Linked DNA regions of Drosophila melanogaster. The protein of the gene in region 1 interacts with the protein of each later gene in a pairwise test. Each region holds a gene or a part of one and is shown in the gene's direction. Other genes may lie near its edges.

Region 1 (5,307 bases):
TAATCTCTGCCAGCCACTGCTCGATTTGGACGGGATGGAATGAGTCTTCATCACCGCTGTTTGCCTCGAGGATGATCTTGAGATTCTCGAAGTTCTTAAGGATTAGCCGCTTGCCCGGCTGCAATTGTGGTCCCGATTCGCTGTGCGTTAGCGATGTGGTGGTCGAAACTGGCTCCTGTTTGGCAGCCGACTGCTTTGGATTGCAGTTGGCATCGCAACTGGAATCGGCAGCCGATGTTTGAACGGGCTCTGCCAACTGGTTGTATGTCCTGCGTGGCTTCTCTACCATGCTCTTCTTGATCTCGTTGAGTAGGCGATTGTAAAAATCGCAGGTGACATCGTGAATCTCGGTCTCCTCGTACCGCTGGGCCTGTCCAGGCGTAGGAGTGGAATCCGAGCTGGGTTCACGCTCTATCTTGTCCAGCTTTTTGTTCGCCTTTTGCTTTTTGGACTGCGAACGGGAGCTGGCATTACTGGAGTAATTGGAACTGGAGGCGGTGGTGGTGGGCGTGGAGTTCGAGGGTTCGGTGGTACTGGAATCGGCGGACTTGGCCAGGGGCATCTCTGCACTCACCGCCTCTTCGCTGGCGCAGTTGATGGTCAGGCTGGCTATGTTGCGCAGATTGATCGTGCCATTGCAATTGTTGATTGTGATTTTTGGCTTGAAGCGCTGTTTGCGACCCTTGCATTTCGGTGGTTCTTGTACGCTGCTCTTTGATTTGGCAGAGGTTTCTCGCCCCAAGCTGGAAACGGCTTCGGCAATCGAAGATTCCAACTCGTCATCCAGCTCCTCCAAGTTTAAGGGCGGCACATATGTATCCCTCTTGATCTTGGCCTTTTTTATCAGATCCTTTGCCTCCTGCAGTGTAATGTTGATAATGGAGCGCTTGGCATTATCTTCGACGAGACTTCTGTTGCGAGAGAAGTCGACCACAATGGCCTCTGGTGGGGCACCGTCTTCGTCCAGATCGAGATACGATACTTGCCCATCCTGCAGGCACTTGTACATGGTCTCGTGGTCATCTAGTGGCTCTATGTAGTCCTCGTTCCTCAAACCCGTGGTGCGGTAATCCTGCAGCGCCAACTGCATATCACTGTTGTCCAGCAGAAAGTGTCCGTAGCTTCGGATGGCTGTCAGTAGTTTCTCCTCCGCATCCTCGCTTTCCCCGGGAATGAAACGCACACCACTTTGATCTTTCTTGCCAACCGAGTTCGAGTTCTCCATTTCGGTGGGCGACTTCTTCAGCAGCTGCTGCTGCTGTCGCGTGTTCGCTATGACCTCCAGTTGCCGGAGCAGCAACTTCTCGCGCATATGCAACGCAGCACGGATTTCATTGAACTTCTTTTGTACGGTGTCTTTGACCTGGGCGATGAAAAATTGGGGCGTGTATCAGTAAACAGCAGTCAAAACACACAGTCCATTCGGTTTTAGGGGGCTGAATATAAAAAAAGGAGAGTACAAACACAAACCTCATCCAGATTCTTGTCCATTTCGTGCGTGCTACTAAATACTTTCTCCTTTCTAAACGCTGCGCATTTTTTTTCATAAATTCCTGTGTATCAATATTTTTTGTTTGATCGATCAGCTGAGTTGCGGAGTGCCCGCCGCTTTTAGCTAATAAAAAACCAGAGGCTCACAAGGACTGGTACTTGTAACTGGTCACACTTTACATTTGGCGGGAAAATTGAATTTGCAAGTTTGATAAGAACATATTTCATATTAAGTATTATTTTGGCTTTATGCCAAAGATTCTGGTAAAGTTGTATTTAGTAAAAACACTTTCATATTCCTCATTAACGATCTTTCTGTTTTACTACAAAAGCACAAGCAAAATCTAGCAAAATAATATAGGCAGCTCTTTAAAATTGATGAAAGGCTTTGTGTTTTATTTATTAAATTATTTAATTATTATTTATTTATTTAAATTATTTAAAATATTTTGCCGGGTTGTTCAAACTTTTAACGTTAGCGGAAGTGCAAGCGCTGCCACCTTGTTGCTGCGCTTAACAGAGAGATCATACTTATACCGCTACGACACTACATTGTGGAGTCCAGTACAATGGAAGGAATTGGGTTTTAAGATTTCAAAAGTCTGAATTGTTAGGGCAAACAATAAGCACAAAATTCCAGAGATGAACTAGTTTATGATTAATTAAGCTCTTTAGAAGCATATTAATTTATATATCAAATGTAGTGGTGTCACAAGCACTTGAGCGGCTTAAAAGTGTGTGACCGTATGGCAACAGTAGAACAATCCACATTACAGAGCTCTGTTAGCATTGCAGAAGTGTTTTAACACACCCGAAATTCGGACACACCGTCGTCAGTTTGTTTTCATTTCAACTTTGCGTCGGGTTCACTCCAATTTTCGCACCGGAGGCGCGCATTTCAATTAAATTCGGGAGAGCGCTGAATGCGCACGCTGTTTCCCTAAAAGTTCAAATATTTAAAGACGAAAAACATTGGTAAATTATTTTGGTTATCCTATAAAAAAAATAAAAGATTCGCACTTGTGTTGAAAATACATCGGTAAATCCGATAAATCGCCGGGAAAATATGAAGAGATTTTGGCGCTAAATGTGTTCAAAAACAACTATTAATATAAACGTTTTTAAAATATTGTTGTGTGTAAAAATATAGATTGAAGAATTGACGTTCAAAAGCAAAAGCAAAACAAATCGAAAATCACCGCTTCCACGTATTTCTCAGCTGTCTTTGTCTTTGGCTCTGCCGTCTCTTTTCCACACGTCGCGGCGCCCTCAAGTGTTTGGTTTTGTAATTGCCTTTGCTTCGCGAAACTGTGCTGATTTAAATGTTTTTTTATGTACCGTTCTTAAAGTATTATTTCCCCAAATGCAGTTGAAACATAACAATTGTCGCGTGGCTTTTGCAGCGATGAGCAGAGAGAAAAAAGCAGCCGTGTTTAAATAACAATAGTCATCGCTTATTGTTGTTGCCCCAACTAATTTGAACTGTGCATGTGTGTGCGAGTCTGATTGTGCTTGTGTGAGAAGGCGCGTTGGCGTTTGTTGTTGTTGTTTTTTCTTTGCTCAGCAGCTCAGCACAAAAAATCCGAATGAAAGAAATATTCAGAGAATTTTGAGTTTGTTTCTCGTTCTTCCTGCCAAAGAGAGAGAAGCATAAAAAGAAGCAACAAACAAGACAAAACAATAAAAAAAAATCAAGGGAAACACAACACACATGCAAAGCAACAAAAGAAAAGGCAAATAAAAGAGAGCGAGAGAGCGCGAATTGTGTCAGTGACGCCAAAAAATTTAAAAATATCAATAATGCCCACCAGTGTTTTATTTTCGTTTCGCCAAACGGTTTATAATTAATTAACTGCAACTATATTTAATTGGTTTTGTGTCGGCATAGTTTTTATTGCTCTTTCGATTGTGTTTCCGCTGCATTTGCCGTCGTTCTGCCTTTGCGATTGCGAGACTGTCTTTGCAAATTGTCTTTGCGTCGGCGGGTCGTGACTGGATTCCATTGAATATTTTACAAACAGATGATGCATGTGGTTGTGTACGTATGTTTGTTTGTTTGTCGCCTTTAAAACCACATGTGCTTGGGTTGATTTCCTTAAAAATATGCTCTATAGGAATACAGTTAGTTGCTGCTTTTCGCTTTCTTGACTAGCATTTTTTTTATCGCGTCTAGCTTTCCGGTTTTTCCCTTTTCTCTCCCCTTTTTTTTAGTTCCATCTTGTTATCATCGCTAAAAACCTGTTTTGTTTTGTTTTTTTTTTTTTTTTACTTTTTTTTACCTGGTCTCCGGGTTTTTAAATTCGAAATTACCTCATTTTACACCTCAATCGCGGGGTGCTTTTCATTTAGTCGCTGCGACTAACCCACTAAATTGAATCATTTTTATTTCACCCGGATTTGTAGGTCGTCGAAATGTTGTTACACTTTCGGCGATTTCAAGATATCGCGTAAATATTTATCAGAAACGAAAATTCAGAAGTGTAAATATGCGATTATTGAAATCAAGTCTATAAACATCCACAACTGAGCCACCAAAAATTGTTTATTTTCCTGGAATTTTTACCTGTTTAGGGAAAGCAATAAAATGCGCAAGTAAACATGTAATATATAAATATGAAATATGTATATTTTAATGTACAGCAAATATCCGCAAAATTGACTTATTAATTAAATATAAAACTAGCATTGAAAATATTAAATATTCCAACATTGAAAACAGCACAGTTATAACACCTTAACTACAAAGTAAACTCGACAACCAAATGAAGACAAACCAATATCTACTGTATATTATTTTAAAAACTGTATAATCCACAACTATTTTAACCGAAAATCTGTAAAAAGAAGTCCATTAAACTATATTTTCGTGAAATTAACGCGTGTAATCGAAAAGCATTCGAGTACTTAATCATCATCGAAGGCGAATGTCGAAAAGTGTTCCGAGGTCAATGTTTCTGTTTCTGCTGCTGGCAACTCATCGCCTAAATTAAGTACACAATCTGCAGCGAGGTGAGTTTTATTCAGATATATATATATATATTACATACTACACCCCTGACCCTGGCCCCACTTATTTTGGAGTATTTCGAAATGCCTCCCACTTGTATTTGCTGCCCCATTGAGAGTTACTCGTAACTCCCTCTATATTTGTATATTTACCACTATACCACTATCTGTCTGCGAATCGTGTGAAATTGTGTGAAATACTTGCGATATTGTCGACATTGTGCGATGAGTAAGTTCAATACAAGTGGGCTAAGTACACACACAAAGCAACTTGAATGGAGACGCTAAACATTTTCTACATACTAACTAAAGCAAATACATCAAATGAACTACGCAATTATTTGCCTGGTAATATCAATAGGCTAATTTTTATAGGACTTCAACATTTTCACATCAGCTTTCTTCATGAAAATTTTGAAAACTTGCCTAAACATCGTGAATGCTGATTTACTATCAATGTTGCTATCAATCTCGAACTTTATTAATACTCAGTTTTTATATATGTTTCACTTCTTATCGAATCAAGATTGCCATGTCAGATAACTTACTTAACTTTTCTAGACATTGAACATTATTTTTTAGGTTCAAGGGAGAGTTCTATGTACTTATAAGTAAGGCATTAATTATGTAAATTAATAAATGATGTATCCACAGTATTTATTTGTTAATGCTCGAGCAAATAAAAGTCGTTAATAAATTCCATTTCGCAAATAATGAGCTCAGCAAGCATTTAACTCTTAATTTTTTTTTATTTATCATTCGATTTCTGTTGCGAAAATTGCAATATTCGGTTGATTTACGTTAATTTTG
Region 2 (4,818 bases), 4.4 Mb from region 1:
TTAAAGAGAAACAATTTAGGACAGTTTTTCTTTTACTGATTTCAGAAATATTACTTTAGAACTTCGAAGTAGGGATGCCTGTGTTCAAAATACATAATATACCCTAATTCAATTGACAATACCAAATAAATTCGTTGTTGACATAAAACACTGCAATTTAAATCAATGTGAATGGCTTGCGTTTTTAGTTGATAATTTCATCATTCCTCACTAGCAAAAATTTCAAGAAAAAAAATTTCTTCCCACAAGAAGAATTACTTTAAAAAGACTTTATAGATGAAAAAATTCCGTTTTAAGGTGTTATTTGTATTACTTACATTTACAAGGACTCGTTTTCTTGCGCAGCGTCTGCATTTTGCTCAGAAAAAGCTGATTGGCATTCGTGTAGTAATTCCTTTGGCCGCGTATAATGTTGCGAATAATGATTGAGCCTTAAAGAGCTTTATTTATTTATGATTTATTGGACTTCCTTCGTTGTTTTATTGCTAATTGCCTTTTGTGATTTGTTTACACTTGTTTCGCTCTTTGCGTCTTCCGTCTCTTTCGCACTCCCCAACTTCCTGACAGTCAGCGTTTTGTTGTTGTTGTTATTGTGCCAGTCGGTCGATAGAACACACCGGCATTTGTCTCACTCACACTCGCACGCGCTCACACGGACACGGCACGGATTATCGATTTTCCAACGGGGGCCTCTGTGTGCGTGTTTACTTCCACTTTGCCTACTTTAAGGCGTTGTGGGGGGTGGGAAAGGGATGTAGCTACGCCTTTCATTATGCAGCGGTAAGCTATCTAACTTCAATTAACTGTTATTCGTTGTTTTTGATCCTTTCCCGTCTTAATATTGCACAACACGCGCAGCTTTCTTTGTCTGGCAGCCAGGAAAAAAAGTGAAGCACAAAGAAGTGGGTGACACACTCGTGATTTTGGCTGAGCGAAAAAACCAATTCGACTCTTTTGGCAAATATTTACAAGCTGATTTTTACGTTCTTCCTGCTTTGCATGTTATTGGCCATTAATTTAACCCAATTTGAATGGGTTTGTAGTTTAATTTGGGTCCTACGCCCTGGGAGCAGCAGGATATGCACACACACCGAAAATTCGATAGTAAAACTCCAAGGATTCGAGGGTGGTGGGTCAAGTGCCGCGGGCACCCTGTACGCCAGCCGGTACATAGGCTATCGGTCTATCGACGACAACCGATAGGTAATTGCTCGTACTTGCGGTACACACAATTACATATGTTTATACAAAGGTTTGACATAAATTGAAACTATAATAGTAAATTTCTCTGTTAAGCTTTGATAGAAAAAAAAAATGTAAAGATTTTATACCAAGGGTACCTTAAAGTTCGATTAGCTATCAAGATATTATGTCGTTAAAACTCGTATAACCGTTGAAGATCCTTTTTTAAATGATGATTTAAATTTTCTTGGTATTTTCTACAATCGAATAGATGGTCACACTGCAAAGCAATTTCTCCACAAAACAGTGGCGCCATTACGGCCGAAAAGAGAACTCAAAAACATAGCAAGACATCGAAAAATATTGCACCACAACCTTGCAACGGTCACTTTGCTCGCAGTCTGCTGCGGTCACTCTATTCGAACGGAACGGAATATTTATCGCGGATTGTCGCGTTATTTCGTTTGTGTCGCGCCTCCATCAAACTCACCTTAAAAATTAACACTCAAATCGTAGATTACGAGCTCTGTGCGGTGTTATCAAAAATAACGGAATTAATTCATTACGGACGCCTACGCCAGTCGTTCTTCCTCTTTTTCCACTGCGCGCGTCGCTTATTTTTACCTGCAGCGCAGTCGCGACAGCTGAAAATTAATAAAACGAAGAGAAAAGTGTAAATTGGATCACAATTGGTAACAAAAAGTCTATGCGATCGATCGCCAGTTGTTTTATACATCAACAACAACAAAGCAAACCAGTTATTAGATGTTTTTGTGAATAGTGTAAATCAAATTCTCGGCTCATACCTACACACACACCAAATACATTCCCGTAGTTCCTATTCAGATCCGATCGGTTCTTCGACTCGCAGATCACAGAAAATATGCAAAATTAAGCCAAGAGGAGCGTAAATTCGTGCGCAAATCGTGGGCGCAAAAGTGTCGTCAAAACGGGGAAAATAATCAAAGTTAACAGTAATATCCTGTTGTGTAAATAAAAGGCTTATACATACACACACAGTCGCAGAAGCAACAAACAAAGGAGGAAAAAGCGGCAAGATGAATAAAACCTGTGCCCGTTGCCAAAAGGTGGTTTACCCCATCGAGGAGCTTAAGTGTCTGGACAAAGTGAGTTACATTCCCTATGCATATGTAGACTATTTATCCTATTCAAATTCTATAATGTTCGCGGTGGCTCCTTTTTCCGTTTTAAGCCGCTCTTTTGTGCACTTGTTGCGGGCGCAAGAACGAGACGGCTAGCTAGCACATGGCCGTGGGTTCTGCTCTCCCGCTCCCTCTCCATGATTTTATCCCTTCCCCCATTGATCATGCGTGCCTTTTTGTATTTTTGTTGCTCTGCTTCTTCGGTGTTTATTATCCTATGCTTAATAACCGCAAAAGTTGTTTGGCTGCTTTGCCATTCGCTTCGCGGAATTCAAATATTTACTCGAAAATAACGGCGCAGCCTCGCGCGCGTCCCTGTGTGGGTGTAATGGCACTATTGCACTGAGAAAAATCACAAGATCGCTCTTTTAATACGATTTTCATTTCCACTGGAAAAAGAAGATGAAAAAAATCTTTATTTATTTTTATATTTTATATTTTGATAAAATATATATAATTTTCTACAAATTATAAAATCTATTTTTCTATTATACCATTTGATTCTAAGTGATATAATCTTTTCGTATCCCACGATCGATGCAATTGATCAGTTCAGCATTTTTGCTCAGTGTAGTAATGCGCGGGTGGCGACAACCAACAGAAATTACTGCTCACATTTTCGCCAACTCAGGAAATTTCTACAATTGCTTTTAATTTACGTTTGCCGCCGCCGCTTCCGCTGGCAGAATTTTCGGGCTCCCTCTCTAATTATATCGTGGCCTCTCTTTCCCGCAGCGGCGCTTGTTGCATTTCAATTCTTGCGATCTTGTGTCTTTTTCGCACGGCTTTTTTGGTTGCAGCCGCTTTTGTTGTTGTTGTAGTTCTTGTTATCTTTCGAAAAGCAACAAAAGCAAATCCGTTGACCGACCTTGAGCGCATATTTTCGAGACTTGAGACCAGTTTTTTTTTACTGCGTTCTCCACACACACGTACACACACACTTACGCTTAAAATCTGACACAGTGGTATTCGCGAAATTAGCAGCAGCTGGCGAAATGAAAATATAATTTTTTTATTTTATTTTTTATGTTTGAAAGTGCTGATTATCTTAATTCTATTTCCGCTTAAAAGTGTTTTGATAAAATACATATATATTTAAATATTTATTTTTTTCACCTAACTAATTATTTGATTTACTCAAATTTCTTGATAAATTTTTGAATTCTCTAGAATATTTTTAAATGAAAATACTTCGTTTACCGGAAATAAACACCGTTTTTGCATTCTTGGAAATCGTTGAGCTTAACGGTTTGTACCGTTAAGAGTTTAAATTGCAATGAATAGTATTCAAATAAAAATGGGAAAGATTCGTTTTTCTTAAGAAAGAAGTAGGATACAACATAGATTTTATAAGTTGGAAATTTGTTTTGTAGCTGAGCAATTAGACTGAATACTGTTGCTTTTACGAGGAGAAGACTATAATTAGTTGGCGCTTTTCAAACTGTAGATTTGCATAATGTTTGTACTATATTGACAATTAGTTTTCCAACTAAACGACTAAACACAGCTGTAGTTGCACGCAAAGTGGGGCTTTCGTTTCTCATGTTCAATGTGCCCATGGGCTTATTGGTTTACGCCTAATCCAGTTTATTTTAAGCGAACTTATATTTGCCTCTAAGTCTGGGGGCTTTTCACCAATTGCAGTTCCATTTTATTTTCGCCCTTGGCTGGGCTGTCTATCAGTCTGTGTTTACGTTTCGAGGGCCTGTGTTATTGTTGTTCCCACGAAATTTGGAAGCTGATAACGCAGCTATCGAGCCGAGCCACAAACATTTACATTACGAATCGCTTGGATCGGCTCGGCTTCCCCTTTGAATCGAATTGAATCCATCAACGAATTCCGATTGCCAATCAGTTTCGAGTATATCAGCAGCGTTGAAACGTGTCAATCTTGCCCCGTATAGAACTAATACCCCTTCAGCGCCAAGAAGCACATCCTAATTATAGTCTCGTCTTTCTAGAGTTTCTTCTTCTTCATCTTCTTCTCCCCTTCCGAGTCAGCAATTTCGATTCTAATTATAGACAATGGAGTAATGAAGACTATTTTAAAGTCACAAGACAGACGCACTGAAGTCGGTTATAAAACATTTATGTATGTGCGTCTGTGTGTGTTTTTCGCCTAATGGAAATGCTGAAACTTGTAAACACAACGTTTGATGGGTATGAAGTGAGGGAGTTGTGTGTGTGTGTGTGGGGGGGGGGGGGGGCGAAGTTTGAGGAGCATAAGTTTACCTTTACATTAAATTGCATTAGTTCACTTGTGTAGTTTCGTGTTCAACTTGCGCCTGCCTTCTGTTGCCGGGTGTGTCTGCCATTGCGAAACAATTTAAATGCATGCATTTCACAACAGGCTTTAAAGTTGAGCAATAGATCGCCAGCCATATGAGGTCAGAGGCTTGACAAAATAAATGATTGCTATGCGGAGGGGATCAATCATATTTTTATTTTGCCAGCCGCTCAGCGCATTACTAAT

The links.
Region 2: the proteins of app (region 1) and Lasp interact in a two-hybrid assay, tested with the Drosophila melanogaster proteins (one large-scale study listed by BioGRID).

The regions. Positions count from the first base shown.
Region 1 is NT_037436.4:12,263,814-12,269,120, reverse strand, and holds the start of app (approximated), read left to right. Parts: upstream 1-2,279; 5' UTR 2,280-2,466; intron 2,467-3,374; exon of another isoform or gene 3,375-3,529; intron 3,530-4,210; 5' UTR 4,211-4,500; intron 4,501-5,307. Other genes in the region: CG32100 (uncharacterized protein), read right to left, coding at 1-1,363, 1,471-1,491. UniProt on the Drosophila melanogaster protein: Palmitoylates Dlish which is required for the apical cell cortex localization, total cellular level and full activity of dachs.
Region 2 is NT_037436.4:16,708,434-16,713,251, reverse strand, and holds the start of Lasp (lasp), read left to right. Parts: upstream 1-1,574; 5' UTR 1,575-2,240; coding exon 2,241-2,309; intron 2,310-4,818.